Linked DNA regions of Arabidopsis thaliana. The protein of the gene in region 4 purifies or fractionates together with the protein of the main gene of each other region. This does not show direct contact. Each region holds a gene or a part of one and is shown on either strand. Other genes may lie near its edges. The genes, in order: AT1G32730, AT3G49000, AT1G06790 and MAA3.

Region 1 (4,447 bases), on a different chromosome or scaffold from region 4:
TTTTTTGGAACTTCGGATGGTACATTGATGAAGCTACCAAAACCAAGTACTAAATGTGTTACGTATTATATAACTTTTTAAAATAAATACATAATAAAAATTAATATTGAAAATGATTACACAATTATCTTACAATTAAAAATTGTTACACCAACCCTTCGTAGAAATATTAGGTGGTAACAAAAATAAATTAATGATTATTGAGAGCTTAACTTATAATGAGCTCATTTGAGTTGTTTGATCCTCAAGTCCCAACCACCAACCCATAACCCATTCAACATGTTTCCAGTTGGTTTGCATAATGTAAATGAATACTACACACACGAGACAACCACAACATGCATATATGAATAAGATATATATGGTTGAAATTGGAAACAAACTAAACGTTATTTTTACTTTTTAGTTCCACAAAAACTTTTGGATATGTTTTGATCAATAGTGGAATTGGGGCAGCAAAACAAAACTAGAATCTAAGAGTTTGGTTTTAGTCGTTTTCAAATATACGTGTTGAAAGTGGCCTATGGATGGATGGATTCATTTTTTTCCAAAAAAACAAACCGGTCTAATTAGACTGAGCGGTTATCCAATACCAAACCAAACCAACTATTTATTAAGTCAAAGGTAATCCAATGAGCAATTTCAAATCTAACAAAGCAACAACACACAGTGAAAAAAATCCAATGAGATAGAATCAACAGCTTTATCCATGGCTGAGTTCTAATATCTAAATGATGCTCAACACTACTTTACAAGAATCTCTTGAGTCTTTGGAGTCTTCAGGATCAGTTTTGAGGGATGTTTGATCATTGTACAATACCGTGGTCACGAAGGATCTAGAAATTTTCTTGCCACTCAAACTTTTCAGTTCATCCACAGGATGTTCTCGACTTCACAACATTCCAACTTTGTCAAAAGATTGGAGATTCTCAGCGATTTTTTGAAGTGCTTCTTCACTCATCTCAACTTTTCGGACTACACCCGGAAAGATCTTGTTCTTCTCGGAAGCAGCAGTGGGAGAAACTTGACCACAGAGCTTTGATTTCATCTCTAAGCAAGATTTGAGATCCTCTTCGGTTCTTGCTTTGTTCAGTTTATCGATTATTTCATTCAAAGCTGAACCTTTCTCTTCCCATTTCTTTCTTTTGACCCGCCTTTTGATATCATCTTGATCATCTGAAGAACTGCCTAAATCCAGTCTCTTAAGCTTCACCAAACCGGCTTTGACTGTCTCCGCGATCCGCTTCTTAAAGCTCTCTGTTCTTGCAGAGTTCGATCTCAGCCTCAGTTTAAGCTCTGAAACAATATTTTCCTCTTTGTTTTGCTCAGGAGCTGCTGTTCCATGACTCTCTTCATCAGGAACAGATGTAAATGAAAATGCTTCTTCGAGTAAATTCACATTACTCATGTACCGATCAAAAGCTTCATTTTCTACTTCAATGTTTCTGTCTCTGTACTCTTTTAGCTTTGTAAACCGCCACTCGTTTAAAGCTTGAGCATCCTATAGAATATAGACAGAACAAAAACTGATAAGAGGAAAACAACTAAATGGAGATTTTTCATAGAGTACTAAAGTCAATGAAAGACGTCTTAATTAGTATACCTTTATCGTCAAAGGTTTTCTCTGGCGGGAAGAAGCATTCAGGTTATTAAACTGAGCAAAGTTGCTAGAAAGTTGCCGGATTGACGAAACTCTAGTGGTACTCCTGAAACAATTTCCAAAAGAAGAAAACGTCAACATAAAGCGCCATATTTTAGTTCCACAAGACCAATATATCATCTCACTATCAACTACGTGCAATAAAACAAGAAAGCTGAAGAATCTCCTATCAAAGTATTAGTAAGCAAACACCGGTTTATCATCTAAGATTCACTTGCCCATGGAAGCACAAACAAAACAGAAAATTAGTTTATATATATGTACCCGGGAGTGCCCTCGGTTGCTTTCTGCTCTGAAGATGGAGTACTTGGCGCCTGCGTCTTCTCACCAGACGTTGAAGCTACTTTAAGAACTGCAGCGAAATAAAACACATAAGAAGAAACACAAAACAGTCCATGATAACATCTCTATATCTCTCAGCTAATCACAAGCACATTCCAAGAATCAGTCTTATGGTTCTTTATAGGTTTTTTTGTCCCGAGACAACCAAACGAACCCTATAGAAGTCAAGAATACTAAACTCTAAACTTACCAAGTGAAAGAATAGAACTCTCCAATCAAAGTTATCAACACTAAACTCTAAAACTGATCACTTTAGCTAATTATGAAGTTGAGATTTGACAGGGCAAACATACCGTGAATCGGGCAGGGATTCTCTGCTCTTGAACAACAACCCTTACAAGATTGAAAAGGGCACCTGCATTTATCAAATCCAAGCAATACAATTACAATTACTTCACCAATAATCTCAAAAAACTGATCTTTCGATACTAAAGCTCAAAACTTTAAACAATCTCCAACAGATTAATCACCAAATCATGAATAAAAACCCAAACCCACAAACCTATGAACCCTAAATCAAAACGAAAAAGTACTATACAAGACAAATTCGAATCCTTTCAGATCAAAAACCCAAGAACAATCCATAAATCGAAACCCCAGATGTAAAAAACCTAAGTCCTTCGATGAAACAATGCGTAGAAGCAATACCTGGAGCGAGCTACATTGCCGCATTGAATACACTTAGGCTTATTGAGACCACGGAGAGTTTTGGGAGGCGTGACGACGGAGGAAAGACCATTGTTACTCAGAGACGGTGACGAAGTCGCCATTGATAAAAAGTAACGGTTTAAATTAAAACCGTTATTCAACGAAAGAGATAACTAACGACCAAATAAAACTCGTGCGAGTGAGTAACAAAAAATTTGGAATCGAAAGGATTGGTTTTTATTTTTTTTTGTCGCTCTGATTTTGCGAAGTGCTCTCAATCGCTCGATTTCACGGCGGGTCTAGGGCTCCGGTTATTAATAATACCACGTGAGTCGTTTTTATATGGGCCTGGGTTTTAAAGCCCAATATAATTTCTCTTTAAATTGAACCGAACTTAACCAAATCATGAACTTTATCCGGGATCAGACTTGTCAGATAAATCAATATAAGCCCAAAAAAAGCCCAAGTAATTAGGTTATTCTATCGAATCAGATTCACATATATATAGACGTTATTGTTCATATGAACAATAGAACATCAATCTAAATAATTTAGTGTTTGCCGTTTGGGCAAATCTTTTTCTTCCTCATCTCTTCCTTCGCTTTGCTTTAGAGTCTTTTCATAAGTAAAAGAAACAAAAACAATAAATCATTCTACTAATTGACTTGTAACTCGAAGCTTTGATTTGGACGTTACAAGTGGTATCAGAGCTTCACACTAGAAGCTTCTAGATAGAAGTCAATTTGGCAGACAAAACAATGCATTTAGATTTTGGTGCATTCAACTTCAGAGTGTTTTCATATTTTTATACTACTCTATACTATTTTGCAATTGATATCGCTTTCTAACTTATTATTCTGATGCATCGATCGCTATATGATTATATTGCGTAACCTTGGCTGATTTTGCAGCTTCAATATACTTAGAGTCAATTTTGTACTTGGCTGATTTTGCAGCTTCAATATATTTAGAGTCAATTTGTATGGACTTGCAGATTTGGATGGGTTAACACATAAAAATATAGTTTATACTTTATAGACATGATTATTTAATTAATTAGTTGATTTATCATTGGTTTTAGATTTAGTAGACTATGAGGACTGTCAAGAGTCCACACGACGATCAAACTAAACAACTCTGATGATAATAGAGACTACAAAACAAAACAGAACTGAACAATTTTACAAAACAACAATTAAAAAGTATAATTTAATCGGAATAATAATATTTGCTCACCAATATATAAATTTTAATTATTCTTCTTCTTTTTATTTATTTGGTAAATATTTAACCATCCATTCATGATTTAACGATTACAATCGAGATAAATACCATTGGATAACAAAATATTACGAAAGATTTCCTCACCAATTCTTCGCGACATAGTGAACGTACATCTCTCAAGTTGTTACTTGTAAATTGCAATCATTCGCATAATCTATGTTGCATGAAAACGGAAACGGAAATGCGGATACGAAACGTTTCGGAAACGGGAAACGATTTTTTCTTAAAATTAGGGATTGGAAACGTTTTGGAAACGTATACACATTTATACATATATATAACATTATATATATATATATAACATTAACATAAAACTATATTAAAGAAAAAATGATTTAAACAATACAAGTCCAAAATATCAATATTAAATAAATAAACTAAAATTCTAAAAGATAAAAATTAAAAGGTTCAAGTTCAAATAGTTAATTTAGACCAACATTTTCATTAGTTTTATCAAAGATAATATAAAGCTCTTTTCAAATCTGGTTTAACAAAAGAAAGATCTTAAAACTC
Region 2 (5,901 bases), on a different chromosome or scaffold from region 4:
GTCGTCCGGGTGATTAACGAGTTCCGTCGCTGAGTCAACGACGGAATCTGAATCCGCAACGGATAGTACAAGGTCCGAGCCAGCGTCAAGCAGCGTAGCGGTGACGTGAGAGATTTTCAGCTTTGAAGCTGCTTCTTGAGCCGGTGCGTTTCCTTCTTTAGAGGTTAACAATAGCTTTGAATCTGAATCGGAGAGGTAAAACTCAAATTCCTCCGCCGTGTACGCTGCGTTCAACGGCGCCGCCGTGGCTCTAGCTCTTATCACCGCTAAAAACATTATAACAAACTGAAAACAAAAAAAAAAAATCAAAACCAAATTCATCCAAAAAAATCATCTGAATCCGGAAATCAAAATTTCTCAATTAAGAAGCGATTTACAGATATTCATAAATTCTGCTTCCCATGTGATTCTTCAGCACGCAAAACAAAACCAGAAACGAAGCTTTTAAATCGAAATATATGAAAACCTCTTAAAATACCTCGACGGTGTTAGGGAAGGTGAGAGCAACGACATCGCCGGGTTTGATTCCAGCGTCGGAGACAAGGCGTGAAGCGGCGCGTTCGATTAGATCGTGAAGACGCGCGTGAGTGAGATTGAATTTTCCAGAAACGGAGAGAGCTCGGCGATCGGGGAATTTTTTGGCGACGTTTTCCAATAATCCTGAGAGAGTATCGCTATCCATGGTTACGTCGGAGAGATAAACACGAGAGTAACGATGATGAGGAAGGAGAGAATGTGAAAGCAGAGAAGAGAGCAAATGCGATATTTATAAATTTATATTCAATTACTACAGTATCTGTGGAAGCAAAAAATGGCTAAAAGATGATGCCACGTGTTATCATCGTAGCGGATTTTCTATTGATCGTGTGGTCATAATGTTTTCATTTTTAATTATTTTGTTAACGGTGGGAGTCGCTGATATATATCCTTACGATTAGACCGACGTTTCGGTTTTTGAAGAGGTGGTTTTTTTAATTTCGATTCCGGTACAAACACTGAACCGAAACGGCTAGTTAATTAACTTTTGAAAATATTTTTTTTCGGCAAGCATGCGATAGTAATTTACGGTTTATGAATTATTTCATAGGAATTTGAAATAGTTTGTGTATGTATTATCAAACAAAAGAATAGTTTCATTAAAAAAATAGCCTATGAGTGTTTAATCACTTTTAGGGCCTTTGCACATGTGTCTTTGACTAGGATTATCACGTTTCGAAGATGCTTGACGTTGTTTATACTTTATATTATAAATAGAAGATAACGTCCTTATTTTGATTGTTAATAAATTAAATTGACCAAGGTAAAAATGTAAAATTAAAATAAGAAATGGTAAAAATGACTTTGAATGATAAGAATAAATATATTATTTATAGAAAAAAAGTAGAAGACTAAATATAATGAGACATATATCTTTTTGAAGTAATCAATTTTGTTTTGTCTATACATACAAATTATTATATTATTTTATTTGGTTTGATACATGCACACTATCTAACTAAACAATAGTGGATTTGGATAATTATTCAACAATGAAACTAATTTAAACCACTAAACATGCGTAGCTTAGAAGAGAGTCAGAGTAGAATTTACTAATCAAAGATTTAGTTTACCTTGTTATTTGTTAAAGATTAAAATTATGTATATGATTATGAATAGAAATACAAAAATCTCGTATAGATGAAAACGACAGTGTTTTAAAATATAAGTCATATTCATGAAGCTGAAAAAGTCATTTTCCATTCTCCTAACTAAGTAAAAACATGGTCTTCATGTAAGCCGTCACATACAAATACAATAGAAGAATTTGGTTTGTGTTTGTTCTTCTTAAGTAGAGCATTGTCATCTGGCCCAATCATTGAAAATTCTCAAGTACATTTCGTTCCATCACTAATTTTTTTTCTTGGGTCAAACCATACATTCAATTTATTAGGGCCTGATAGGCCCAAACTTCTCTAGGCCAACAATTAATAACCTACAATTAGGGATGTTAAAATGGGCTAAATATTTAAGGCCGGCCCGAGTCCTTATAAAAAACAAAAGCCCTAGCCCTGGGTTGGTGTTTTCTTATACTTATATTGGTGGGTTCATGTTAGATTATCGAAATTTTGGATTCGAACGTGTGGATCGCTGGAAAAATTAAACTTTAGGGTCGCTAGATTACGATTGCTTCGCTTTTTAGTAGTAGTAGGCTACAATCGATTGGCAAACATCTCTATATCGGCCATAACTCCGTCAAGCTCTGCAGAGGCTGCTTCATCAGTATTGAGAGACTTCCTGGTGATTGATTCTCATGTCTATGTCTGAGTTTGGCATTGTCTACGCCATCCATATCATCACCGTCCAATTCGGCTCCGTCGTCTCGGTAAATTGAGAAACCCTTCTGAGACTTGTGTTGAATTTATAATCTCTGTATAACGAATTTGGTTTTGGTTGCAGAAAGTTTGTGAATGTCTTCTACGTAAAGGACCTCTTTCCTCACGAGACATCTCTCGTTTAGCTGAATCAGATATCAACCATAACAAAGTTAAAGATATTCTCTATCTCTTGATTCAGCACAATTGTGTTCAAGCTTTCTCCATTGAACCTCCTGGTTAGTCTCTATATTGTTTGATTAGTAGCAACACACAGAAATAGAGAACTCAATGAAAGTAATTTTGTATGTTTTTTTTTTTTACTTTGTAGATGGTTCTGAGAGCAAAGCTATTGTACAGTATATTGTGTTGTTTAACAACATTCTGCATCGTGTGAGGTATAACAAGTTTTCGAGGATTGTAAACGAAGAACTTGACTCCAAGGTTTAATCGTGCTTCTTCTTCTCTCTGTTCAGTGTTTTGATTAGTTGGTTTATGCTTCAAGACTCTAATGCTAATCTTATACTTTTGTTTGATTTATATGTTTAGTGCGGTGCAGTTCTTGATGGTTTACTTAGTAACGGTAGGCTTACCTTGGGACAGTTTATTGAAAGAGATAGAGGTGAGTCGTGATATCATATGTACCTCTTATGTTATGTTACCACAGTTTACACTCGTCATCGTAGGCATTGGCTTTTGGCCTTTGTGTATCTCGTTTTGATTACAGTAATGCTTCGAGCGGAATGGATTCCATGCTGTTATATATGTTTTCTTCATACATGATCAGATTCAGGAAATACGATAGGTTCTGAAGCAATCAGAGATTCTCTTCAGAAATTGGTTGCTGCCCGTTTTGTTGAGCGCATTCCTTCTCCCGAACCTGTTCTTGGAAACAAAGAAAAAGAGCCGGCAAAGAGAAGAGGCGCTAAAGCTGCCAAGGTAATTGATAATTTCTTTCTGGTGTTTGGTATACCTATACATGGTCTGATATATCAGACCTACAAATTGCAGAGACATGACTCTCAGTTTTGATATTATTTCTATTCTGTTCGATATTAATAAATCTCTTGGAACGGTGTAGATTCTTAAAGAACCAGAAACCTTGGAGGAACAAGTTGTTGAAGCAGCAACTCCAGTTGACGCAATAAGGTTTCCACTTATATTCGAAGAAGATTCCAATTCATCTTTAGCAGATGACAATAGCAACATCACTGAGGGGAAGGTATCAACATTCGTACCATAACCAATCTTGTAATCATACATTTTTCAATGATGTAGCTCTGAATACCTTTGTTGATGTTTCTCATTGAACCGAATATTTTAGCGTAAACAACGTGATGTGGACACATCAGATTCGAGCAGTGGAGTAATTTGGCGTCCTAATTTTGAGGAGTTCATCCACCGCCTTAGACATAAGGTTAGTTATCCGTGTTTCTCTTTTGAGGTTGTTTGATGAGGAAAAAAGCTCATTGGCATTTCAAATTTTGCTTTCCGAATGTCTTACTGTTCCAATCTATTAACCACTTGTTTCTTTGTTTAAGGCGTGTGTGGAGATAGTGAAAGAGCGCCGGGATGAAGGATGTGCCATTGTCTTGAGGGCAATGTTAGAAGTAGGAAGATCGCAAGAGAAGAAGGTGAAAACAGACAATTCGGGTAATATTTGAGTTTCTCACTCATTTTCATTCAATATCTTAACATAATCATAATATGCTGAAGTTAAAATTGTATTTGGTGTGAATTATTTTGCACTCTCCACCAAAAGTCCACCTATGAAGTTCTGTTAACTGAATTTGCTATAATCTTTGAAACAGCTCCAATGTCAGTTGGTTCCATTTATGAAGAAGTTATTAAGACAGAAGCAGGTCGCACTATGTTACAAGAGCGAGTTGAAGCATGCCTTGACCAATTGAGTGCTACGTCTTCTTATCTACCAGCATTTGTGAACGAAGTGAATGATTCATACATAGTTGGTATAGTAACTCCATTCAAAATCTAGTCAAATGATTCTTGTATTCAAAATAATATTATTTTGTTATTTGGTTTTGCAGATTATAAATCCATTATCAGCGTAGCACAGAAAGATGAGGTGCGTTTCATATTTTTCTTTTCTTGATATATTTCTGAAACTAAAAACGGTATCTTTGAGATGTTTCCAGATAGAGGCAGTAGTGATGAGAAGATATGGGAAAGAAGCTTTCAGAATGTTCAGATACTTATCACAGGAAGGGCGTTTTGTTGAGACCGATAAGGTTAATGACTGTTCTTTATGATTCATATAGAAACATCTTAAGTCATAATGATTTCTTAACTTCATCATTTTTTTCTCTCTGTAAGATTGCTGATGCCGCGCTGACTGAAAAGAAAGATACACCGCAATTCCTTTTAAAGATGTGGAAAGACGGATACTTACATATGCAGGTATTCACAGTTTGGAAACCAAATCATTATCAAAAGTAAAACGAATTGGTTGTTACGAGATTCATTGTTGTTATCTTCTGTTCATTTTTGTAGAAATTGGCGGTCACAGCTCCGGGTATGTATACACCGTTTCTGTTGTGGAAGGTAAACAAGTTGATTGTGACAACTCAAATGTTGGATGAGATGTACCATGCGTCCCTTAACTTGAGTCTTAGGTTGGCCCATGAGTTAGAAGCCGAAAAAGAGGTTAGTCACACTGCAAATCGATTAACCCAAATGTGTTTCAAGATGGTCCAGATACTAAAAAAACTGTTATTGCTTTTGTGGCAGTTGCTGTTGTTGCCATTAGATAAACTGGAAGGACCATTAAAGGAGAGACTGAAAAAGGTCAAAGCCAAGAGGCTGTTACTCTCTTCCACTATGTTTAAACTTGATGATGCCATTATGCTTTTTCATGACTTTTAAACTCATACATTCAAAAACTAATTTCTTTTGGTCGATTTAGTTCACATTGTCTTCTAGCATTTTTTTTTTTTTTTTTGACATAATGAGAAGTTGTAACTTTGAAGGTAATTGATACTGTTTCGAGAGAAATGTTGTTTATTATATACTTCAGATTAAGTTTTCAAACTCTTAATCTCTATCAGAAAACCTTCTTTTCCTTTACTATGGTCTATGGCTGATGAGCTTTGGGATGAATTGCAAAATCGGGTTTTGGTGATACAGAGTCTAATGAAGCCTAATAGTCGTCCAAGTCTGAGTTTGAAAAAAAAAAAAAAAAAAAAAAAAAAAAAAAAAAGAGTCGTTTAAGTCTGATTGCCTGACCTCTCAATCCTTCAGTGCAACAGCTTCAGACAGTTCATGGAAAAGTGTTCTCTTCTATCTGTCCAAAGGAGAGATCGATGGGTTTTCAATAATCCGGAAGATATGAAATAATATTGATGTAAACATCATAGACATGTTGAGAACTCTCAATCTCAGAATTCTGACATCTCTTTCCCAACCTCCCCTGCCTGATACTCCTCCACTCAACTATGAGCAAATAGCAGTTGGCTACTCCCCTTCAATATGTTCAATCTTCTATACAAAGGTTTCTTTACTCAGGTTGCTGCACCAATCCCACAAGTCAACA
Region 3 (4,433 bases), on a different chromosome or scaffold from region 4:
TGGTAAACATTATTGCCTCATCAAATGCCGAATGGAGAATAATGGGGTCATTTAGTAATCTGATTTACGTGGCACTTCTTTCTTTCATGGGTAGGTTGGAGAGAATTTAATTATCGAAAACTACTAGGAAATAAATTTGTCGTTTAGAGCATAATAGTATTAGTATGAGTTGATGAATCTGGATTATTGTTTAAAAAAACATAGGTATCATGGGAAAGGACAGAGATTTGTGTTATCAAGTGGGAGAGATCCAGCGTTAGTGAACAAAGCATCTGATTTTTTGAAAGACCATTTCATGGTCCCTCCTTATTGGCGCCAAGACGCAAACAAAGGGATGGTGAGGAACACTGACGGCCGTTGGATTCAACCTGATCGCATCCGTGCAGATGATCAACATGCTCCTGACATACATCAACTCCTCACCCAACTCCATCATCCATCACAACTCTTGTAATTTATCGATTTTTTTTTGGTTTTTAATCTTCCTAATTTGTGTCATTGCCTTTTTACATTACAGATAAACAAAATTGAACGTCCCTATCTTAGTGAAAACCCGTGCATAGTTTAAAATAAATTTTAAGTTTTCATCAAAACTGGCTTGATCATCATCTGTTAAAATTTCATCTGACAATGCCTAGACTAAGTCTCGGTCTCTCACCCTTCTTGATCAACCTGTTCATAAGAATCCCACCTGTTTCGGTCACTCACTCTTCTTGATCAACCTGTTCATAAGAATCCCACCAAGAAACAGGACCCAAACCATCATCATCCATATTCCCCTGCGCAGTACACAAGATTGATTGACCACTGGACCGACGTAGGAAAACCAAAACAAAAAATCATGGTGTCTCAAAATAAAAGTTAAGTATCTATAAGAGAGGAGGGAATCAGGAGGCTTATCTGACCTTACTTAACTAGCGTTGTTTATAATGCATATACAAGTGGAAAAGTTTCAGAGAATGAGTTTGATGAATGAACTTACAGTGACCACCATTGGAGCAAAAGGCTTTGCGTCCTCTGCTCGCTCAGTTGGAACTGATGGATAGCTGATGCTCTCTACTCGAAACTTGATCTGCCATTTACAATGCCTCGTTATAAAAACATACCACATTCAGATAATTATGCTTAAAGATACATGCAGGAACCAAAAATTCACCTGACAGGCATCGTCAACAATATAGTCTTCTTTCGGTTCTCCATATTCCCACACCCATATCATTTGCTTCCTGTGAACCAAAAAACATTATACTTTGTGATCAAATGATATATAAAGATGTTGGTGCAATCTCCTACTCATAGTTGGAGAGCTGGTAGTACTACATAAACTGCAGGACACATATTCTTACCTATTATAAGGGTCAGGCTCACAGCGGTTGGGTTTCGGCATAAGTGGAGCAGGCACATAAATATCGTCAAAGAATCCAAGTGTTACTGCCAAGTATAGAGGTACCGTAAGCATGTAAATGATTAACCATATCCATGATTTCAAAGTATTAATCCAATTCATAAGTAGCTAATAAGCTAACAATGTACTAGAGTAGCAGGATGCAGACAGTGCACAACATTGGAATTCTTCAGGGAACAGTATAATAAAGTACTCACAGCGCAAGCCATTGGCGTCAGATTCTTTGAACTTTGCAGCTATGACCTCACCAACAAATGGACGGAACACAACAATTCTAAGACCTACCTACAATCACACAAACAAAGTATTAACAACACGACATGAGATATTGAATCAAGGCAAGATAAAACTTTTGAAAATAAAATTCTTAACCAAAACCGTACAGTGAAAGTTAGACTAACAGATAACGATTCCGAAGAACCAAAATCTCAGAATGGTTTGAAACTCTAGTACGGTAATGATGAGTCTACAAAGATGTAACTCAATACAGTGCAGAAAGTGTGCAATACACGGTGATAGGTCAACAATGATGCCACTAACAGTGACATTGGGAGGCCATAAAATTGATATAAAAAACCATGTTCAACTGATAAAAGAATAGAGATGAGAAAAGATCAGCAATTTGGATATACCTTATAGGTCGCAGCACCATCACCGGGTAACACAAACCCTCCTTCTACTGATTTAATGTCGTAAATAGATACACAAAGCCCCAAATCAGCTAAAACCTTTCATAGCAAAAATCCACTTTGATAAAATTAGCCAGGTGTGTATATAAATAAGCAAACAATGGATACCATAAAAGTGAAAGAAAAAGGGCAATGAGCAAACCTTGTCCAAGAACACATTTTGAAGCACTGACTTAATGGCATCTTCGAGAGGGAGATTAAGTAGATGCGGAGGCACTCTTAGTGAATGTTCTAGCTCGCTAAGATAAAACATTTCTGAAAATTTTGTTCAAAATTCACAAGTCAGATGCATGGAAAATTGGAAACAAACAATCAAAGAAGTAGAATTCGAATAACGAATCAGACAAATTCGGAGCATTCTTGGTCATTAACATGCATATCATCAAAAGTTCCAAAATTCAAATCTAAAATTCATTAAATCATAGTACGTAATAATAGCCCAATCCTCAAGATTAAGCATGTGCAGAGCGTACAAAAATCTGCCATTGTCATAACTATACGAGAGAACAAAACTATCTAAAATCGGGCAATACCTAAACCATTGAAGATAAGATGGTCTCGAAGGGAACTCGGAGAGATGGTGATGAAGACAACGATTAGACGGAAAAGTGAGAAGTTGGGAATAGATTGGAAGAAGAGAGAACCTACTAATCGAGTGAGGAAGATGCGGAAGAAGAAGAACGATTTAGGGTTTAGTTATTAAAGTCAAGAATTAAAACAAACCGATCGGTTTGTCATCGTTACGCTTATAAACCGAACCGAACTGAAAACCGCACTCTTTTTATTCATACCGGTGGGCCAAAAAAGGAAATTGGGCCAAGTCCAAGGTATGACAACAATCTGTTGCTGTCAGCCTGTCACTATAGTCTAAGTAATATTAAGCTCTGATGAAAAGTGTGAAAAAAGAAGAACCAAGATATACACTGATGTGGGATAAAGAATGAAGCTAATCATAACATTGATATCATGCTTGAGTAGCTTGTTTAACAAAAAGAATCTGAAACTGAACCTAAGTTGCCAGATTTTTTTTTTTTTTTTTTCGTATCAAGCTTGAAGATTGCACTGTTGCAAGTAGGTGTGATGGTAAGGGACGTGTATGTTCCAGTAACGTTTGTAATTCTCTTTTCCAATGTCCAACCACGGCTTCATGACCCCATCGTAGTGTATAACTGCCGCTTGTTCGATGTCAACCGCTTTGACTCCTGATTCGCGACCTAACCCCATCACATGCCATCTCTTGTCCAATGCTAATGTTTGCCTATAGAAAGTCAACCAACCTATTGGTAAGCTCCCAGCTTTCCACAATGGTCTCTTTGTTCCCTGCCAAAAAAACAAATTCCCCAAAACCATTGTTAGGTTTACGCCCATTACATAGACAAGATATGTTGTTGCTTGTAACCATTCTTCTTCTAGGAGATGATCTTTAGCACTAGCTTGCTTATGTTCTTTGCTAGTTACAGCAATGTTATTTGTGTTCTAAATTCAAAACCTTTCATCCTCGATATAGCCAACCTAAAACCTAATAATTATTACAATCTTTTTCATATATAATGACGAATCAACAAATCTAAGAACCCATTTGAAAACTTTGAATATGGCTACAGTGTTATTTCCATAGGGAGAGCAAGTGCAGTAGAGTGTGTGTGTGTATATAGCGTACCAGGTTGAAGTATTTTATGTATGTAGAAGTCAACTTCCGTATTCTCCATTCTTCGAGATCAATTAGATTCATCCCGAAAGCCCATGTGCAAGCTCTAGGACTAAATTTCCCAGCGACCCATGTGTCTGAGAAATTAATAAATGTGCTCATTGATCGAAATGAAGATTCACCTTCAAGACAAGTCTCTACAGCTCCAACCACCTTTCCTTTCATATCAATGCTCCACAGTCTACTTAAATCTCTTTGAACAACTACATCATGGTCCAAGAGTACCATCTTGTTCAAACCCGGGAATATATCCGGGAGATAGAAGCGTGCGTGATTGAGTGTAGAAATGAATCTTGGGTCATTAGAGTTTTGCTTCATCAGTAATTGATCATAATCTCTAGGCAGGACATCCATATCATCAATGTTTAGGATTTGGATAGTAGCTTTACTTTGAATGTTTAGCAGAAACCACATTGAGATTGCTGGGTAATTAAGTGAATCAGTCACGACATGGAAGACTATTCTTTCTGGCTCCTGCAAACAGCAATCAGAAGCCACATTAATAAGTGGCGGAAGTAAATGAGAAGATATAGTGTAAGACACTCTAAAATTAGGTATAACATATAATGATAACCAAGTAGAAATTTGTATAAGAAATGCATGATACCTTTGATGAAGATATCGTAGAGTT
Region 4 (7,560 bases):
TTTTCTTCTTGATCCCAGTATGTTGCAGCAGTTGACACTTTTAACACAAACGGAAAGAAAGGTTATTTTTACCTTGAATAATCGGTTTCTTTGCTCAGCACTTTCGATAAGGTTTTTCCAAAGTGGATCGCTCTTCAATGTTGCAGCTGAACCAACGACCTGATAAGCAAGTTTCAATGGATAATGGATCAGTGAGATAGAATCAGAGAGAGGGTATATAAATATATGGAGAAAAAGTTAGAGAATCGTTTCTATGAAAGTTTTCTTTATATGCCTTACCAATACTGAAGACTTGGCTCGTGTAATCCCCACATTCATCCGCCGAGAATTAGAGAGAAAACCGATTTGTCCATTTTCGTTAGCTCTGACGCATGAAAATATTGCAACATCCTTCTCCCTTCCCTTTTCATCAAGATGAGGAAAAAAACGAAAAAGAAATGGATGAAAACTTTGGACTGTAAGTACAATTCTACGGTTCAAGTTCTTAGATTAGTATAAAAGCAGAATCTAATGCATTTTAATTTGTTTATGAGCACAATTGATGTTGAACTGTGAGAAAGAGGGTAGAATATTGACCTGGAACCCATCAACAGTGTTGATATCAACCACTTTTTCTGCCTCTGTACCAAACATCTCCTTAAACCGATCTTTGAAAGTTTTTACTTGGTAGTTATACGGTGATATAATAGCTAGCTGAGAACTAGACTTCAGCTCCGGGTACATGGTTACAAGTCTGTGGTAGATGAGAAGAACAAATTCCACCTCGTCTAGATTTACCCGAGAACCAGTTGCTCCTGGATGTTGAGACTCTTTCCCTTCATGTATATCAAAAAAGCAAAATGGACCAAAGCACCGGTATTTATGCCAGTCACGAGTAGTCTGAGCTTCAATGTCAGATCCATCTTCTAGTGCCCCTTCATAGAATTGCTTTGACGGAAAGCTTCTTATCTGATTTTCAGTTAAAAAAATTGTTTGCAGGGTAAAATAAGATGCAATCATTGGAGTAAGAATTAAGCTAACTACAATCTTTGGCTTGGTTTGTGAAATAGGTATCAACTGATGATAATTCTTTAAGAAATCTGATATTCAGTGAGAATCTGTCTTAGGTGGATGCTAGATGAAAGAATGTCCGTACCTCTGGATGCATCCGGTATTGGGTCTTCAACATTTTTACTGGATAGCCAGCCTTTTGAAGTCTCTCGAACATGCTTGTACCGTACCTTCATTATAGAAAGTAAAGACAGCAATCCAATAGTGTCAATACAATATACACGAGAGACATAAACAGATAAAGTGTGGATGCAATGACTGGATTAAAGCACTTACCCAGAATCCTGAGCAACAGTTGAGATTACAGTAGCTGGGAGTTGCTTTGGATCCCCTACCTGATAAAATTAGATTTTACATAAGGATATCCATAGCTACCAAAGTTGCCTTTAACATTAATCATTAACTCATAAACTTATGGTGTTGCGCTTGCCTGTAACATCTACAGTTTCAAGATGCAACTATTTTAACATCTATATTCTTCAATTTCAAAAAAAGTAAGGCATGCTTCATTCTTTGAAGCTACTGATGGTGTGTGTCGAATCATCTACTTATTTTATGTACCCGGAAACTAACTGCAATTTTGATACATGAAGGGTAACCTATTGGATCTTACCAGAAATACTTGTTTGCACCTAGTGGCCAAAGGGATAAGAGTTGCTGGCTCAACCTGGCAAAGTACACAAGAGTAAATTTCATTAGCAATGAACATGGGGAATATAAGCATTAAAAATTTCTCTACCTGCATAAGCTTTTTAAGTTGCGTAGCAAAAACAATTACTTATAAGATACATGACAGACTCTGACTAGGACGAACCAGGATTAAAATTTTCTTTACACTTCAACATAGGTCAGGGCTAACACATGACTCAATTTAATGTAATGACATGCCATGAGAAAGTTTTTAAAAAACAAAGCATTATTATTTCCACTTTAAAGTAAAACCCTCTGACATTTAGAGTGTGTAAACTAAGCAAAAAAAATCGAGCATTAGTCCATATTCTATTGGAAGGGGCTTACAGCTTGCGCAGCTTCATCTATTATAACGACATCGAAACCACGGTTAGATTTAGCAAGAAGTGCAGAGCCACTGAAGCTAAGGGTAGCGAACACCTGAAAGTGCAAAGAAACAGAAGTAGGTGATTCAGGGAAGAAAAATAAAAAAGCTTTGAATTACATTAATACGAAAGTTAAATCCCCATACAATCGCAGCCTCTTCCAAAATTGCAGTGCGGATACTATCTATATCAGTTCCTGTAGTCCCTTGTTTTGGCTTATCGATGGCAGAGCCACGCTTTTGTGCCACCTGCAAAAGAGTGTTGTCAGAACAGTACCCAAAGGCAAGATTTGTCAACAAACTTTGTTATTTCGTTGTTTGTTCTCTACAAGTGTGATTCCTCCGAATGAATATACTTAAACAGACCTTTACTTATCTGAAGACAGATAGATTCCCAGTTGAACATTCTTTAATAAAGTTAAATCAAGCAACCAAAATTAAGCCAGGACGAAAGGCAATCAAACTGTAAAGGAAACTAGATACATACAAGGTGATCCAGTGATACTGACGCAACAGAGTGATGAGCCTTGAGACCAATTCGTACTATTTTGGGTGTATATGTCTGGGCGTTTTCGTCACGAAGACCTGAGAGTGCAGAAACCATAACATATAAGACCATTACCAATTTTCAAATAATGAAATAATGAATTGGATTAACCACATACCCGAACTCAGAAGCCGCAACACAATCTCATCAAGTGCAGAGTTTGATGGAGCACAGACAAGTACACGTAATCTGTACTTCCGACTCGCATTAACCACCTCCGGTTTCTGAACATCAAAAGAGAATCAGAAAAGTGGGGTTACTATATGATAAAAGAAATAAATGTGGGGTTACCATTTGTCTCAGAATAAAATCTTCCGACTTACCAATTCATTTCCTGAGGTTGGAAAGAACCCATCGTCACCATCTTCAGGCATAATAGCATCTCGAGGGTTGACACCCAAAATCCAAGGAGAGGCTCTTCCCCAGTGATTGTATCTGCAGACAAGACATAGTGAAATATGTTCAACAAGAGGGATGTATGGTATGTGATATTTCAGACCAAACTATTGATGCAATGCAATATTATTCCAATTACTCTTAAGTTGCAAGATTTCAAATAAAACACCATATGATATAGATAATAATAACATTTTCGAATCATTATGAACACACATCTGGGTATGCGAGAGAACTGAGTATCGAAATATTTAAAAGATCTTAATGGGAGCAAAATCATACTTTTCCTGGATAGTCATCTGAATACCACGCTTTACTTCATGATCTGTACCCCTATTATAAATAAAAAGGGAATTTCAGAATGCAAAGCATAGTTATAATCTTAACTCGGAGCTGCACATAGTCAAGTGAGTGTCAAAGGATAGCATGTAAGAAATCATACTTAGACTGGACTCTTGCGGGAGTAGCATGCATAATAGCACCAAGTATGCTAAGAATCGTCTGAGTTTTCCCGGTACCTGGAGGACCCTAAAGAAGGATAGACTCATTAGTATCCAAATCATTAGATTAATTCATCTGCTTTTCAATGCAATTTGAAAAACAAGTCTGTTATATCCCTATTGACTGCCAATACAGTTTGACAAAGAAGTTTCTCATATTCATGTAGTCAACAAGATCTAAAAAATGCCAACTTAGAATAATTTTGGTTTTCATCTGCATATTTTTAAAAGGCAATCTTGAGAGTCAAATATAAGACTTTGAGTGCTAGCTCAGTAAGCATGCTGGAGAATTTTAATTTCATGTCAATTGAGGGCTTTCTCATTGAAAATGATTGTGTTTTTGACATGCAATCTTAACATGTAAAAGCTAAGTAATAAGTCCTCAAGAAACAATAAAACAATTATAAGTGGAGAAGTCAACCTGTATTAAGACGAAGGATTTTCTTGATAGACCAACCTGCAAAATTGTATTTTGAAACAAAGAGCCCAAATCTGTGTTAGGGAAACTGTCAAAGTCTCTAAGGAAAGAATTTACAAGGCTAGACTTACATCAATTGCCTCCTTTTGGGATTTGTTAAGGTTTTCGTTAAAGAATTCATTCAGAGGTCCAGATATTTTCCATGCTTCATCTCCAAAACCACAAGATTTTTCTGCTGCAGTGAAGATTAAATCCTTGAAAGGGAGCGAACTAACTGATCGTAGTGCTATATATTCCCGAATAATGGTTGATAAACCACATAACTACAAATTAACAAACCATCCATGAAAGACGCTGTATCAGAGAAGGGAACTATATTATATCTAGAAAGGATATGTATCATGTCAACAACAGTCGCTTAAGTTCATTAAGATTCTAACTAGTATTAAAGTATAAAAGAAAGAGAAAAGAGAAGCCAAGCTAGCATAACACAACCTAAAACTAGACCACATTATTAAGGCTTATCATCCAATTTATGGAAAAAAACAAATGATATAATAACTATACATAGTTGCTGTGTCTCATAACAACTGACCTTTAAACTGAATACCCTTTTGTCAATAGGGCTGGCAGATGATGTAATAAGAGAACGCATATTTGAAAGCGCTTGGATAAATGACTTTGTTCTAGAGGATTTAGTATTCTTGGTTATCTGCACAATGTCTTCAGCTAAATACATCCGAAGACGAAGAAGATTATTTTGACGATGTTCCACTACAGCAAACCCATAAGATGAAGGAAATGAATTCCCTTTAACCTGCAAAAGTTAATCTCTAAGTGAATCCAACATTCGATAATGAAAATTTTATACAAGAAAGTACAAAATCAGAAATGCAAGTCATACAACACCCTCGGAAAATCAAACAAAAACAAAGGAATAGTATATGTACCTCTTCTTTTGATAGCAATAAAAGATCATTTTGAGCAAGATATTCATCCTCCTCATGTTCGTATGTGACTAACAGAAAGTGAAACCCTTCGCCCTCGTTGCACTCCATTACCAATCTCATTTTACACACCGATGCTAAGAGGAAAAAAGACAGAAAAAACCATTTCCACAACCAGAACCAAATACGTTAAAAACTAGTTATCTAAACATAAAACCTTACTACAAGTATACAAATTTAGTTTTAATAGCTGAAAATAACAACTGCCACTTTCTTTCATGATCAATGGATGGACAAAAGTAATAAGAAAAAAGCCAATTGTATTTAAGTTCTATGTATCTAACCTTCTTCACCATCTTTATTCTGCAAAATTTGAGCTTTAACTTCCTCGAAGAGCAATGGTTCAAAAGTCTCGAAATAATCATCAACATCTTTATAAGTATTCTTTACAACATTCAATTTCTCTTTAGAATCCTTTCTATTTTTCCTCTGCATTACATAATACACAGTAAGATAAAAGAAAAACAAATCTCACATTCGCCTAAGAAGAAACGGAGTTTGTTGTATGATGATGAAGTACCTCATTCTCTTTAGTAAGCTGTTTATAGTCCCAACCCAAAATAATGTTATAGAATCGAGTAACAGATGAGGCTTCTTCTTCTTGAAGCTTGCCATTATCGATCGCCATTACACGCTAATCTCTCTTTCTCAACTCCGAAATTCACCTTCACAGATTCTACATGAACATACAAAAAAAAAAACTTTAGCATAAGCATAATGTGATTGTATAATCATCAGTCAAGTAACTTGTTATCATCATCTTTTCCATTATATAGTCTATGGAATTAAAAGCAGAGTTTCGAAATCGAATTACTATGCATCAACCTAATCAAATAGCAGAGCCTTTTCACCAACAGAGAAAATTTCAAATTGAAATTAGGGAATTGAATTTACAGAGAACAACATGTGACTGATATGAGCTAAGAACTCGAGAAGCAATTGGAGAATGTAGACGAGCATATATATATAACGGGAGACCAGAGTTCTGGAGAGAGGATTTTTACCAGTCGGAGAAGAAGAGAAAAGACGGCGGAGAGAGAAAACGGCGGTGTAGCTGTAACCGGAGAAAAGGGTTTAGGACTCAAACTTGTTTAAGATAATTTTGGTAATGGGCCGAAAATATACTAAGGCCCAATATATGAATCCTATAATTTCAGTTTTTTTACCGCGAATTTCTTACAGTTAATTCTCCATACAATCGTTTGCATTTGAATTGCGCGTTGTTATTATTTACTCGAACTTCAATACTGTTTCAATATCACATGTTTAATCACATTCATTGAATCCAATTCAACTTGTAATCCTCGAATCCTTGAAACAGTTTAGTAGTTTCTGATGGTGCTACTGCTGCAAGGTGCACAGGCAAGATCAACGGTTGAGATACAAACACGTAGAACTTCGTGAACAACTCCTCGTTGAAGCACTCGTAGAACCGTTTCTTCTTTCCCTGTTACAACATCGACTAGAGAGACCTGACGCGACACGATGTCGTCTCTCATTCGACTCCCACCTGACCATCGACCTAACGTTAACCATTTCACCCAAACTAGCTGCTCTGAGATTCCACATTGCCTTAGCACATCCACGACTTGCTCTCGCTGCAGAAAGAAAATGTTAAAGAAGTTAGAAAATGTTCCGAAAGGCCGGTCGACTTTCTCTGGGAGTAACTAACCCGCGGTTTCAAGTGTTGTATGCAGTAAATGAGTCCAATGAGGTTGAGCAGCACACTTAAGTTTGGTTTGAAGAAAAATAACTCCACATCTTGAAATCCAAACCGCATCGAGCTCATGGTTTCAACCGCGTGCAGATATATACCTGCCTCTAAAGACAACGTAGCAGGAGACTTAGTCACATATTTAATCACCTCGGAAGCTCTTGATGCCATTTCCTTGTGTTGCATCACATAAAATCTTCTCCATTCCTACAAAAGCTTTAAAATAGACTATTCATGAAACCTGTAATAGACCTCAAAGTAATGCTAACGCAACAACAAAGAATTTTAGTCTCTGCCACAACAACAAATTATAAACAAGCAAAGTCTAACTGCAAGTTGAGATATATAAACGATTATGATGACCATGTCCAATTCCAACTATCACCTCTTCAAGAAAAAAGTCTCAAGCTTTCTATAATCCAACTATCCACAATTAAAGCAGATAATATCAAGAATCACATCACCTTCAATATGCCTCAGTAATTTGTTTCTCCAAGACAGAACAATTGTTAAATATCTCAACTAAACAATTGTTCTCTACCATGTCAATCAAACATCATCCATCTAATGAGAACCAATTCATCATAAATAGAATTCAATTCAACAACAAACAAACTCACTATCCTACAAAAATGGCCAAAATCTAAAACAACTCAGAAACTTGAATTTGAAAGAAACAAGAATCCATGGAACTGTCTCATTTCTACCTGAGAATTTTCATTGGTTTGGGTTTAAAGAAACAGAGTATTGTCTCCATCAGATTCAAATGAGGACAATAAAGGCCATCTTTGCCTAAACAGAGGTTCCCATAAGATATCAGAACCACATAACTCTCTCCAAAACGTAGAACAGCTACTTAATGCACAAAGATCAA

The links.
Region 1: the proteins of MAA3 (region 4) and AT1G32730 fractionate together in Arabidopsis thaliana (co-fractionation; one large-scale study listed by BioGRID). This does not show direct contact.
Region 2: the proteins of MAA3 (region 4) and AT3G49000 fractionate together in Arabidopsis thaliana (co-fractionation; one large-scale study listed by BioGRID). This does not show direct contact.
Region 3: the proteins of MAA3 (region 4) and AT1G06790 fractionate together in Arabidopsis thaliana (co-fractionation; one large-scale study listed by BioGRID). This does not show direct contact.

The regions. Positions count from the first base shown.
Region 1 is NC_003070.9:11,839,402-11,843,848, reverse strand, and holds AT1G32730 (electron carrier/iron ion-binding protein), read right to left. Parts: upstream 2,940-4,447; 5' UTR 2,773-2,939; coding exon 2,651-2,772; intron 2,358-2,650; coding exon 2,296-2,357; intron 2,013-2,295; coding exon 1,925-2,012; intron 1,707-1,924; coding exon 1,604-1,706; intron 1,502-1,603; coding exon 893-1,501; 3' UTR 541-892; downstream 1-540.
Region 2 is NC_003074.8:18,160,613-18,166,513, forward strand, and holds AT3G49000 (RNA polymerase III subunit RPC82 family protein), read left to right. Parts: upstream 1-1,947; 5' UTR 1,948-2,290; coding exon 2,291-2,362; intron 2,363-2,436; coding exon 2,437-2,590; intron 2,591-2,682; coding exon 2,683-2,795; intron 2,796-2,900; coding exon 2,901-2,973; intron 2,974-3,138; coding exon 3,139-3,290; intron 3,291-3,432; coding exon 3,433-3,573; intron 3,574-3,675; coding exon 3,676-3,768; intron 3,769-3,892; coding exon 3,893-4,004; intron 4,005-4,162; coding exon 4,163-4,321; intron 4,322-4,399; coding exon 4,400-4,437; intron 4,438-4,507; coding exon 4,508-4,600; intron 4,601-4,685; coding exon 4,686-4,769; intron 4,770-4,862; coding exon 4,863-5,015; intron 5,016-5,099; coding exon 5,100-5,234; 3' UTR 5,235-5,374; downstream 5,375-5,901. Other genes in the region: AAE3 (AMP-dependent synthetase and ligase family protein), read right to left, coding at 1-285, 479-682.
Region 3 is NC_003070.9:2,085,559-2,089,991, reverse strand, and holds AT1G06790 (RNA polymerase Rpb7 N-terminal domain-containing protein), read right to left. Parts: upstream 2,811-4,433; 5' UTR 2,628-2,810; intron 2,350-2,627; 5' UTR 2,348-2,349; coding exon 2,237-2,347; intron 2,134-2,236; coding exon 2,038-2,133; intron 1,691-2,037; coding exon 1,603-1,690; intron 1,432-1,602; coding exon 1,347-1,431; intron 1,227-1,346; coding exon 1,157-1,226; intron 1,073-1,156; coding exon 983-1,072; coding exon of another isoform or gene 953-982; exon of another isoform or gene 780-952; coding exon 705-779; 3' UTR 545-704; downstream 1-544. Other genes in the region: PLA-I{gamma}1 (alpha/beta-Hydrolases superfamily protein), read left to right, coding at 205-454; GAUT6 (galacturonosyltransferase 6), read right to left, coding at 3,139-3,414, 3,755-4,276, 4,410-4,433.
Region 4 is NC_003075.7:8,891,083-8,898,642, reverse strand, and holds the start of MAA3 (P-loop containing nucleoside triphosphate hydrolases superfamily protein), read right to left. Parts: upstream 6,037-7,560; 5' UTR 5,977-6,036; intron 5,672-5,976; exon of another isoform or gene 5,649-5,671; 5' UTR 5,601-5,648; coding exon 5,493-5,600; intron 5,402-5,492; coding exon 5,257-5,401; exon of another isoform or gene 5,050-5,256; coding exon 4,916-5,049; intron 4,783-4,915; coding exon 4,561-4,782; intron 4,289-4,560; coding exon 4,097-4,288; intron 4,005-4,096; coding exon 3,969-4,004; intron 3,576-3,968; coding exon 3,490-3,575; intron 3,381-3,489; coding exon 3,330-3,380; intron 3,087-3,329; coding exon 2,975-3,086; intron 2,876-2,974; coding exon 2,770-2,875; intron 2,690-2,769; coding exon 2,592-2,689; intron 2,354-2,591; coding exon 2,252-2,353; intron 2,161-2,251; coding exon 2,068-2,160; intron 1,718-2,067; coding exon 1,664-1,717; intron 1,386-1,663; coding exon 1,327-1,385; intron 1,221-1,326; coding exon 1,136-1,220; intron 949-1,135; coding exon 577-948; intron 403-576; coding exon 280-402; and 3 more. Other genes in the region: AT4G15563 (F-box-like protein), read right to left, coding at 6,295-6,570, 6,645-6,893. UniProt on the Arabidopsis thaliana protein: Probable helicase that may regulate RNA molecules involved in nucleolar organization and pollen tube guidance.